Kluyveromyces lactis: one gene and its partner. The protein of the gene in region 1 purifies or fractionates together with the protein of each later gene. This does not show direct contact. Links are inferred from orthologs where the notes say so. Each region holds a gene or a part of one and is shown on either strand. Other genes may lie near its edges.

What was found.
Region 2: the proteins of NOP9 (region 1) and MRD1 purify together in Saccharomyces cerevisiae (affinity purification with mass spectrometry; 3 studies listed by BioGRID). This does not show direct contact. The link is inferred for Kluyveromyces lactis from reciprocal best matches to the Saccharomyces cerevisiae genes NOP9 and MRD1.

Annotation. Positions count from the first base shown.
Region 1 is NC_006041.1:1,207,898-1,211,931, reverse strand, and holds NOP9 (RNA-binding RNA processing protein NOP9), read right to left. Parts: upstream 2,715-4,034; coding exon 708-2,714; downstream 1-707. Other genes in the region: MRP8 (Mrp8p), read left to right, coding at 1-543; VFA1 (Vfa1p), read right to left, coding at 2,987-3,604; small subunit rRNA maturation protein LCP5, read right to left, coding at 3,898-4,034. UniProt on the Saccharomyces cerevisiae protein: RNA-binding nucleolar protein required for pre-rRNA processing. Component of the 90S pre-ribosome involved in production of 18S rRNA and assembly of small ribosomal subunit. Component of the pre-40S ribosome required for release from the nucleolus.
Region 2 is NC_006040.1:1,259,477-1,263,824, forward strand, and holds MRD1 (RNA-binding ribosome biosynthesis protein MRD1), read right to left. Parts: upstream 3,021-4,348; coding exon 384-3,020; downstream 1-383. Other genes in the region: DRN1 (Drn1p), read left to right, coding at 1-224; VAS1 (valine--tRNA ligase), read left to right, coding at 3,847-4,348. UniProt on the Saccharomyces cerevisiae protein: Involved in pre-rRNA processing. Required for maintaining steady-state levels of 40S ribosomal subunit. Required for the initial processing of pre-rRNA at the A0 to A2 sites, leading to the processing of the 23S pre-rRNA intermediate to the 18S rRNA.

The DNA of each region.
Region 1 (4,034 bases):
GCACAACAAAAGACGGATATCAGAAGCTTAGATCTAGAAAAGAAGCCCAACAAGCCTGCTGCTGCGGAAGCTTCCTTGTCAATTGATACATCTGAGTTTGCTACTAACGGAGATTTGGAACAATTGGTGGAAGAATTACAAGGACAACTTGATTATCTTGAGGAAAGATCAATAAGAAGAGTAGCAAACAATAATAAAAGAGACCCAGCAGATGCGATCGGTCCATTACCTAACGCTGACGGCGATTTGCCAATCGATCTTAAAATTCCTTTACCGGAAACGGTACAAGAGTTCAGCAATATCAAGGATTTGGATTTATGTAAGGTAGCTGAATTTTATGGCGTATTGCCATTCCCACAATCTGATCTTGAAGCAATCACTGAGGGCTTGCGTAATGAAGAGGATGTTTCAATTCCTACATTTACAGATGCTACTGCGGCTGACCAACTAAAAAAATACACTAAAGAAGAAATGGATGTTATCTTTGACACTGTAGCAAGATATTTAGGGTTAAATAATAGAAGAACCAAAGGCACTTGGTAAACTTTTATTGAGAAAAGATAATGTTATAAAAAAACAAATGACTGGAGTAGAGTTATAACTATACATACTATCGTCTGTGTACGTGACTTGGTTGTTTATATCTATGTATATATATATAATTTACAACTGATTACTTTGATATGTTGAAGTACATGCTTTCATGATTATTTTTTCTGGAACTTGCTCTTCTTGAAAGAAGGTGAAACATCCGAATTGTTGTTATTATTAGGACGCTTGAAGGTCTTTGGTTGTAAAGGTTTAGAATCTGGGAACATTTCGAGCTCTTGTTCTTTTACTATTTTTTTCCAGTCGTATCTCTTTCTTACAAATAGTTCAAGCGACCAATTCTTCCACACTTGTCTACCGTAAACACTGTTCTTGACCTTTTCAGAGTCTGCACATAACGCAGTTGCTATACGTTCCTTGTACATAGCCAATTTAGCCGTAAATGTCCATAGTTTATCAACAATGTGGGAACCATATGCGTTACAGGATAAGTTTACGATATCTTTGCATAACACATTGAGTAAGAGTTTTCTTTTGATGATGGCAACTCTTTTAACCTGTAGAACATGTTCAACAACGTGAGAAAACACACCATGGTATGGCATCTGCAAAAGTCTTTCTGCTGGAAGATTCAACATACTGTCAATGGTACTGTTTAGGAAGCAATCATCGTAATCAATCAACTTCTCTAAGAATAGAGATTTTCTCCTCTCTTCAGCAGTTGGCCAGTCATCTCTAGTGTTACCAAGGGTAGAGGAACTTAACTGAAGACAAGATTCTAAGATGTTCTTATCAGATGACTCACGAGGATAGTATTTCTTCATTAATTGTTCAATGATTTCGTCCCTCAAATAATTATCATGACGGATACTGGCATCTATAATTTCAGTACCGAAATCCATGTTAGAGTTCAACAAAACGCTCAAGTCTGGGACCAGTTCATCCATAATCTCTTTGACTTCCTTAGAGTTCAAGACTTTCAAAAGTGATTGCAACACAAATGCAGCAGTTGTATCTCTTTTAGCAAGTTTTGGAATTCTATCCTTCATGTATAATCTGTATAATCTTTCCACGTACTTGATTCTAGTTGATGCAATAACATTCTGCAAGAAATGAGATCCAACAGCATCTGATAGTAAGTACTCCACAAATGACTCTTCCTTGGGATCCTTCTCATCAGAATCTTTGAATATTAGATGCCAGTATGACCTGTCTCTATCGAAGATACCTTCTACTTGTATTACCAATTGAATCACTGGAGACCCGATCTTATCAACACATATTTCCCTGAATTTCATAACGTCAGCGAGAGAAATCTCAGAAAAGTGTCCAGAGCCCTGTGGAATACCATGTGTGAAACTAGTGTAGATTGAAGATAACATAGAACGAAGAACAACTTTGAATGAATCGGGAGTCTTGAATATTTTGTTATAGTTATCGTTATCCTTAATGTCAATCATCTTACGTGCAATCTTAGACTTCTTGGAACGTAATGTTGAATTGTTCTGTACAGTACTTGGTAAAGTCTTTGACGATAGCACTAAGATTAAAATTCTAAGGACATGTGATGCATATTGATGGCTCACCATGAACCTTAAGTTCGGTTGCAACTCGTTAGTCAAAAACAAAAACAATGATTCAGTAGTAACGAATTCACCCTCATCAACAGAATCAAAATCAGGTGTTAACAATTCTTTTTCCACCTGTGCTGCACCTCTGACTAATAGAGTCTCTAAAACATGGGAGGAATATTTGTGACATGCAAGGTTGAAATAAAACCCATTGAAAGCTTTGAAGATAGTCTTCAATTGAGTTTCATCACTTTCCATAATAATACGTTCCATTAGCTTAGAAGAAATCTGAGACGTAGCAAGTTTCAACTCTTTACCCTTACTTTCCTCGATGACACTGTTGATAAACTGGTACTTCTCATCTGGATTCTCAAATGTATCAATAGCCAACGTGGATTCAGCCTTCTTAAAATAATCCAATTCGCCAGAATCTAGGACACCAAAGAAAGTATTAGGACTCACATCACTATTGTCACCCCCAGCAGTTTCATTAACATGGCTAACCGTAGGCTCATCATGGGTTTTATTGTCTTCTGGATGGAACTCATCTTTCTTGAGCTTTTTTATTAGCTTTCTACCTCTTACTCTAGCCATGATATTACAGTTCCTAGCCTTTTTTTAGAGCACGTATCGAATTAAAGTTCAAAATTATTTAAAATAGCAAAAACCAGAGATGAAACGCCTGAAACCAGCAAGTATTCTGTTCTAGTTTGAAGCTCATCGCATGGGATCTAACTATGTCCTGCTTCTTTAAAGCTTTTCATTGAAAAGTTGAAAAGATCAGAAATTTCTTTTTGACGTGATATCAATCACGTGATATAGAATTGCACAAAAGACATAAGAGGTAGGCATATTAGGCCGTCCTCTCATGACTTGTTAACGGTGTTCTTGGGGACTTCAGGAAACGAAAACGATTGTAATAGTTGATTGGGGTCGGTGTTGGTGTATGATTGTTGCTCTACACGTTTCTTTTCCTTTAATTGAGCCAGTTTCCGTAGTCTGTCGACTCTTGATTGGAATACTAGGTCGTGTAGAGTGTATCTATTGCACGTCTCTCTTGATGCAGCTAGCTTATCAAGTGTCGCTTGGTACGTTTGCTGCAATTCTTCAAGTGAGTTTGCTTCATCGGTCTTCTTCTTGTCGTCAGAACTCGCGTCATCCCTGTCCTCTTTCTTATCATCAGATGATGATGGCTTTTTAGAGTCAAAGATCTTATTAACCCATTGATCCCAGGTACCTCGCTCTTTCCTTTGTAGCTCCTCTATGCGTTCTTTGAGTGGCTTAAGACTAACCAGAGACTCGTGATACTCTTTTGGGTATAGAGGCTGTACAAACTGCGGGTTATCAACTAGATGTATATCGCATGTATAAAACCAATCAGGTCCGCTTCCATTGAACAAAACTGTGACTGTAGGGTTACCACATATCAGACATGCTTTCCTATCCTTTGCTGAGACTTTCTTTCTGGTGTATTCGTTCTTCATCAGGGGCGCTGGAAGTTGTACGCTGGTAGGAGATTAGTAGGGGTGATAGGTGGTGATTATATCTTGCAAAGTTGGAACGCTTAGATTGTATTAATTAATTATTGGTGATTACACCTTGATATGAAGAAAACGAGACAAAACGAAACGAAACAAACCACATCAAAGCTAGAGTTTGAGCAGTGCAACACCGTTATCATTCGATTTATAAACTACGTATTTGACACTATATGATGACAATAGAGACGTATGGATATTTTAGCCTATTTATACATAGAAAAAGAAGGACCTCAGGTTTACAACTTCTTCTTGGCTCTTTCCCAAGCATTTCTAGATTTCTTATTACCTCTTCTGCTTGTACTATCCTCCAACTTACGCTTGGAGTTGAAGATACTGAAATCTTCACCGGCGATCATATTAACCTTGGCCATGA
Region 2 (4,348 bases), on another chromosome or scaffold:
TTCGCGAAACTGCGTCGAGCAAGCCTAAAGTATATATCAGTGTTTTCGATAAAGACGAAAGGATTGATCTTCAGTTTGGTAGAAGGGTAGCTGCTTTCCTATTAAAACAACCGAAAAGAACAATGTGGGACTCCAAAGTATGTTTCCAAACCAAACAACAAGAAGAGAAAGATGTTTCAAATTTCCAGCGGGCATATAAGAATTTCGATTTCACTTTGAAATAAGTGGCCGAAGAAGGTACCCAATAGAAGTATCGTTCACAATCGCCTTTTATTTGAAGATAGAATTCTATAAACTAACCAATATGTAGCAGTATTATTACCGAATATAATTATTTAATTAAATGCATTACTAGACAAGTTGAAATGTAAAATCTCCAAATTTTATCCCTGAAGACCGTCATTTTCGTCATCTTCATCAAGATCTATCTTTCGTTTACCAGAATTTCTCATGTTGGCGATCTTAGTGGTATTCACTTGCTTCTTCACTTTTCTAGTCATCTTTTCAATTTGCTGTTCAACATCTTCTGGATCCTGTTCAACAAACTCCATGACAAGTCTACGACCTAGCAAATGGACACCTTGTAATTGATCCATGGCATTCTCAGCTTCCTTTGGCAAGAGGAACTCAACAAAGGCAAAACCTCTAGCTGATTTGTCGAACTTCTTTGGAACTCTTACAGATTTCAATTGGCCAAAAGAACTGAACAATTCGAAAACATCCTTTCTTGTAGCTTCGAATGGTAAATTCTTAACAATAATTTTACCTTGGTTCTTCTTCTTTTTCTTAGATGATGCATTGGTGGTCGAAGTACCTTGTCTGTGCGATAGTTTTAGTTGTAATTTATGGCCATCAAGGATAGTACCTTCCATGGCACTTATGACGGCATTGGCTTGTTCTTTTGTCTTAAATTCAGCGAAACCAAAACCCATCGAGAGAGTCTTGCCTGGCTGCTTTGGATCTGGCTTGGTCTTCACTTGAGCAACAACAAACCCGTTAAACGGTTTGAACTTTTCAGTCAACTGTTGAGAAGTGGTAGAGAAATTCAAGTTCTTAATGAAAATGGATACAGTAGGTCCTGCTTGAACGTCATCATCATCATCATCATCATCGTGATCATCTTTATCAGCTGCTGGCAGAGATTGTGCTTCAAGAAGATCAGCTCCTGAAATTTTAGCTTCCTTGGCCGTAGCTTTCTGGATATCGGTTTCAGACTCAACTAGTTCATCACCTTGTGCATCTCTAGTGAAACAATCAGAAGGACCCTTTTCAAGATAGATGATCCCATCTTTGAATCTTTTGTATGAAATTTTACTGAATGCTGCTCTAGCTGCAGGAACATCTCTGAATTGAAGTATGGCAATTGTGCCACTTGGTGGTAGCAAAAGTCTTTGCAACTTACCAAAAGGCAAGAACAATTCTGCTATCTCTTCTCTGGTAGTACCGTATGGGAAATTCTTAACTAGTATCACTCTATCATCACGTTCACTATTCTTTAACTGAGCAAACTTAGTCAAATCAACACCTCTTGTTTCGAAAAACTTCCGCACATCACCAATTACAGAGGCTTCAGCCAACGCCTGTTTCACAGCAGAGGATGAGTTTTCAGCATCGATCAACTCGGATTTCTTCATTCCTAATTTGTCGGCAACACTGCTGAGCACAGCATCTTGGTTCATGTATAACGAATTCCATGAGAAAGTCTGTTGAGCACTGTTGGCCTTACGTTTAAGTTCCCTTTGCTTCTTCAAAGGCAAGTTCTTTAAATCAAATTCATCTAATTTATGACTCTTCTTAGCATCTGCTGGAAGGATATGCAATAATCTCCCTTGGAAGATCTGTTTATCGAGTTCAACGAACGCAGTGGCCGCATTGTCTGCGTTCTTGAACAAGACGTATGCGAAACCCTTTGATTGCCCTGTTCTGGTATCAACTGCTATGTGAACCTCTTCCAATTCACCGTACGGAGAGAAAAGTTTCCTGAAATCGTCTTCAGTTGCTGTGTATAAGATATTTCTCAAGAACAAACGGCCCGTTTCTCTGATCTTTTTCAATGATTTCTCTTCTTCTGACTCTTGACTGGTTTCAACTTCAGTTTCCTCAGGTTGCTGTTGTTCTGTATCGGGTTGTTGCTGCTGTTTCGATACTGGTGTATCCGCACCATCTTTAATTCTGACTCTACGGTTTTTCAACCAGTCCAAATCTGATACCGCTTCATCTTTGGCCATATCGTCCGTGGAAGTAGGACCAGCAGTATCAAACGTATCCAAGCTCATCATTTGTGGTTCAGGTTCATCAGTATTAGCATTATTCGAGCCACCATTGAGAGAAACATACTCATCATCACTTTCATTTCCAGGTAACTTGAACATGTCGGTATCCTCATCGGCATCGCGAGAATTACCCTTCAAAGCCAAGGCTTGCGAAAGCAACGGATTAGAGGACATTTCACCAACTTCATCATCAGCAGCTTCTTCATCCTCACCCTGAGTCTTGGATGACTGAACAGTCTCCCACGATGTTACCTGGCTGGAGGGTTTCATCGTGTTAATGAACTCTTGTAGTTGCTTGTTCTTGGCTATCTCAGCATCTATATCGTGCTTCTTCCCACCGTCATTATTGGAGTCTGATTTCTGCTTTTTCTGAGAGTCCTTCTTATCCGCAAGAAGCAACTCCTCACGTTCTCTGAGCCTCTTCAACGCTTCTCTTCTCTTCTCTCTCATGGGCTGAGGTACCCTAGGATCAGCAAAACTCTTAGCCATCGACACTTCGATCTTGGAGGTATCGACAAAAGTTCCATTGAAATAGTTCACACAATCAAAAGCGTCCTCCTCGTCACGAAACCCAATGAATGCAAATCGTCTGGATTCACCATCCCTGTTCTTCATCAACTTAACATCACTGAGGTAGGACTGGACATCGGTACTTTGATGTTTCTGAGTTAACCTCTTCTCAATCAAATCCCTTAGACGATCCTCTTTGAGATATATCGGCAAACCTTTCACAATAACACGAGACATATTTGGTTTCTGGGTTAAAGTCTGGCTGAACTTGGTATAGGTGGTTGATTTGGATGGCTACACCCACTGCAAACACAGTAATACTTGTCTTATAGAGGTGATGAGATGAGATGAGATGAGCTAAAATTTTCCAGATGCCTTAGAAAAAGAAATACGGTCACGTGATAAACAACTAGGGCCACACGTCCATCAAAAAGGCTTAAACAATCGCCAGGGCTGCTCAAACCCTTTCCACGCCATCACTCAACCCAAATTGTTCCTCCAGATCTTTTCATGCCCTTGTATTGACTTGCGTTCTGTATCTACATCGAACGTCAGAATTTAAATCCGACCTTATTTACCACTCATTGTCCAAAGCTCGAATGTTAAATCGTGATTTAAGGCAAGCAGACTACTTAATATCTACAATAACTAACCTAGCATCACCATTGACTGCATTTCAATCACTTTGTTCGAGCTTTATATTAACTGTCGGTCACTGACACTTATGACTAAATCGACTATCCTGCATAAAATGCGCTAAAAAGAGCTCTTTTGAAAAGAATATTCTCAGTTACACATTTGAAAAACAGACTCATAACACTAGAGTACCTTCCAACCACTATAACACTGGTAAATGTCCATTATTGACCGTGGTTCCCCCCCTTCCTTATCTCTATTTTCACCCCTTTGTACAGAGTTCTCAGTGCCAACTGACAAAAAATTTTCCAACATTGAAACCAAGAACTGAAATTAAGAATTTGATCAACTAATGACAACATGATCGGATGATGGCAGTTACGGATCTCCTAGTTGTTTGTTGCGTTACTATTTTGGTTACAACTTAATGTTGAGGTTGTTTCCAACGCGTACATTCAACTTATTACGAACTCAGTTGCTGCCCACGTCATCGTTGAGCATTACTATTCGAAAAATGTCTACTGAGCCAAAGCAAGACTTACCACAAGTCGATGAGAAGACTGGCGAGATCATCATCAATCCATTAAAGGAGGATGGTACTCAAAAGAGTCCGAAGGAGATTGAGAAGGAGAAGAAGAAGGCTGAGAAACTATTGAAATTTGCTGCCAAGCAAGCCAAGCAAGCACAGAACCAAGCCGGACAAGCCAAGAATGCAGCCAAGAAGGAAAAGAAGAAGAAGGAAACGGAGCCAATCCCTGAATTTGTGGATAAGACGGTCGCAGGTGAAAAGAAGATCTTGGTTTCCTTGGATGATCCAGCTTTGAAGGCTTACAATCCAGCCAATGTCGAATCCTCTTGGTACGAATGGTGGAACAAATCTGGATTCTTTGAACCAGAGTTCACTAAGGACGGTAAGATCAAGCCAGAAG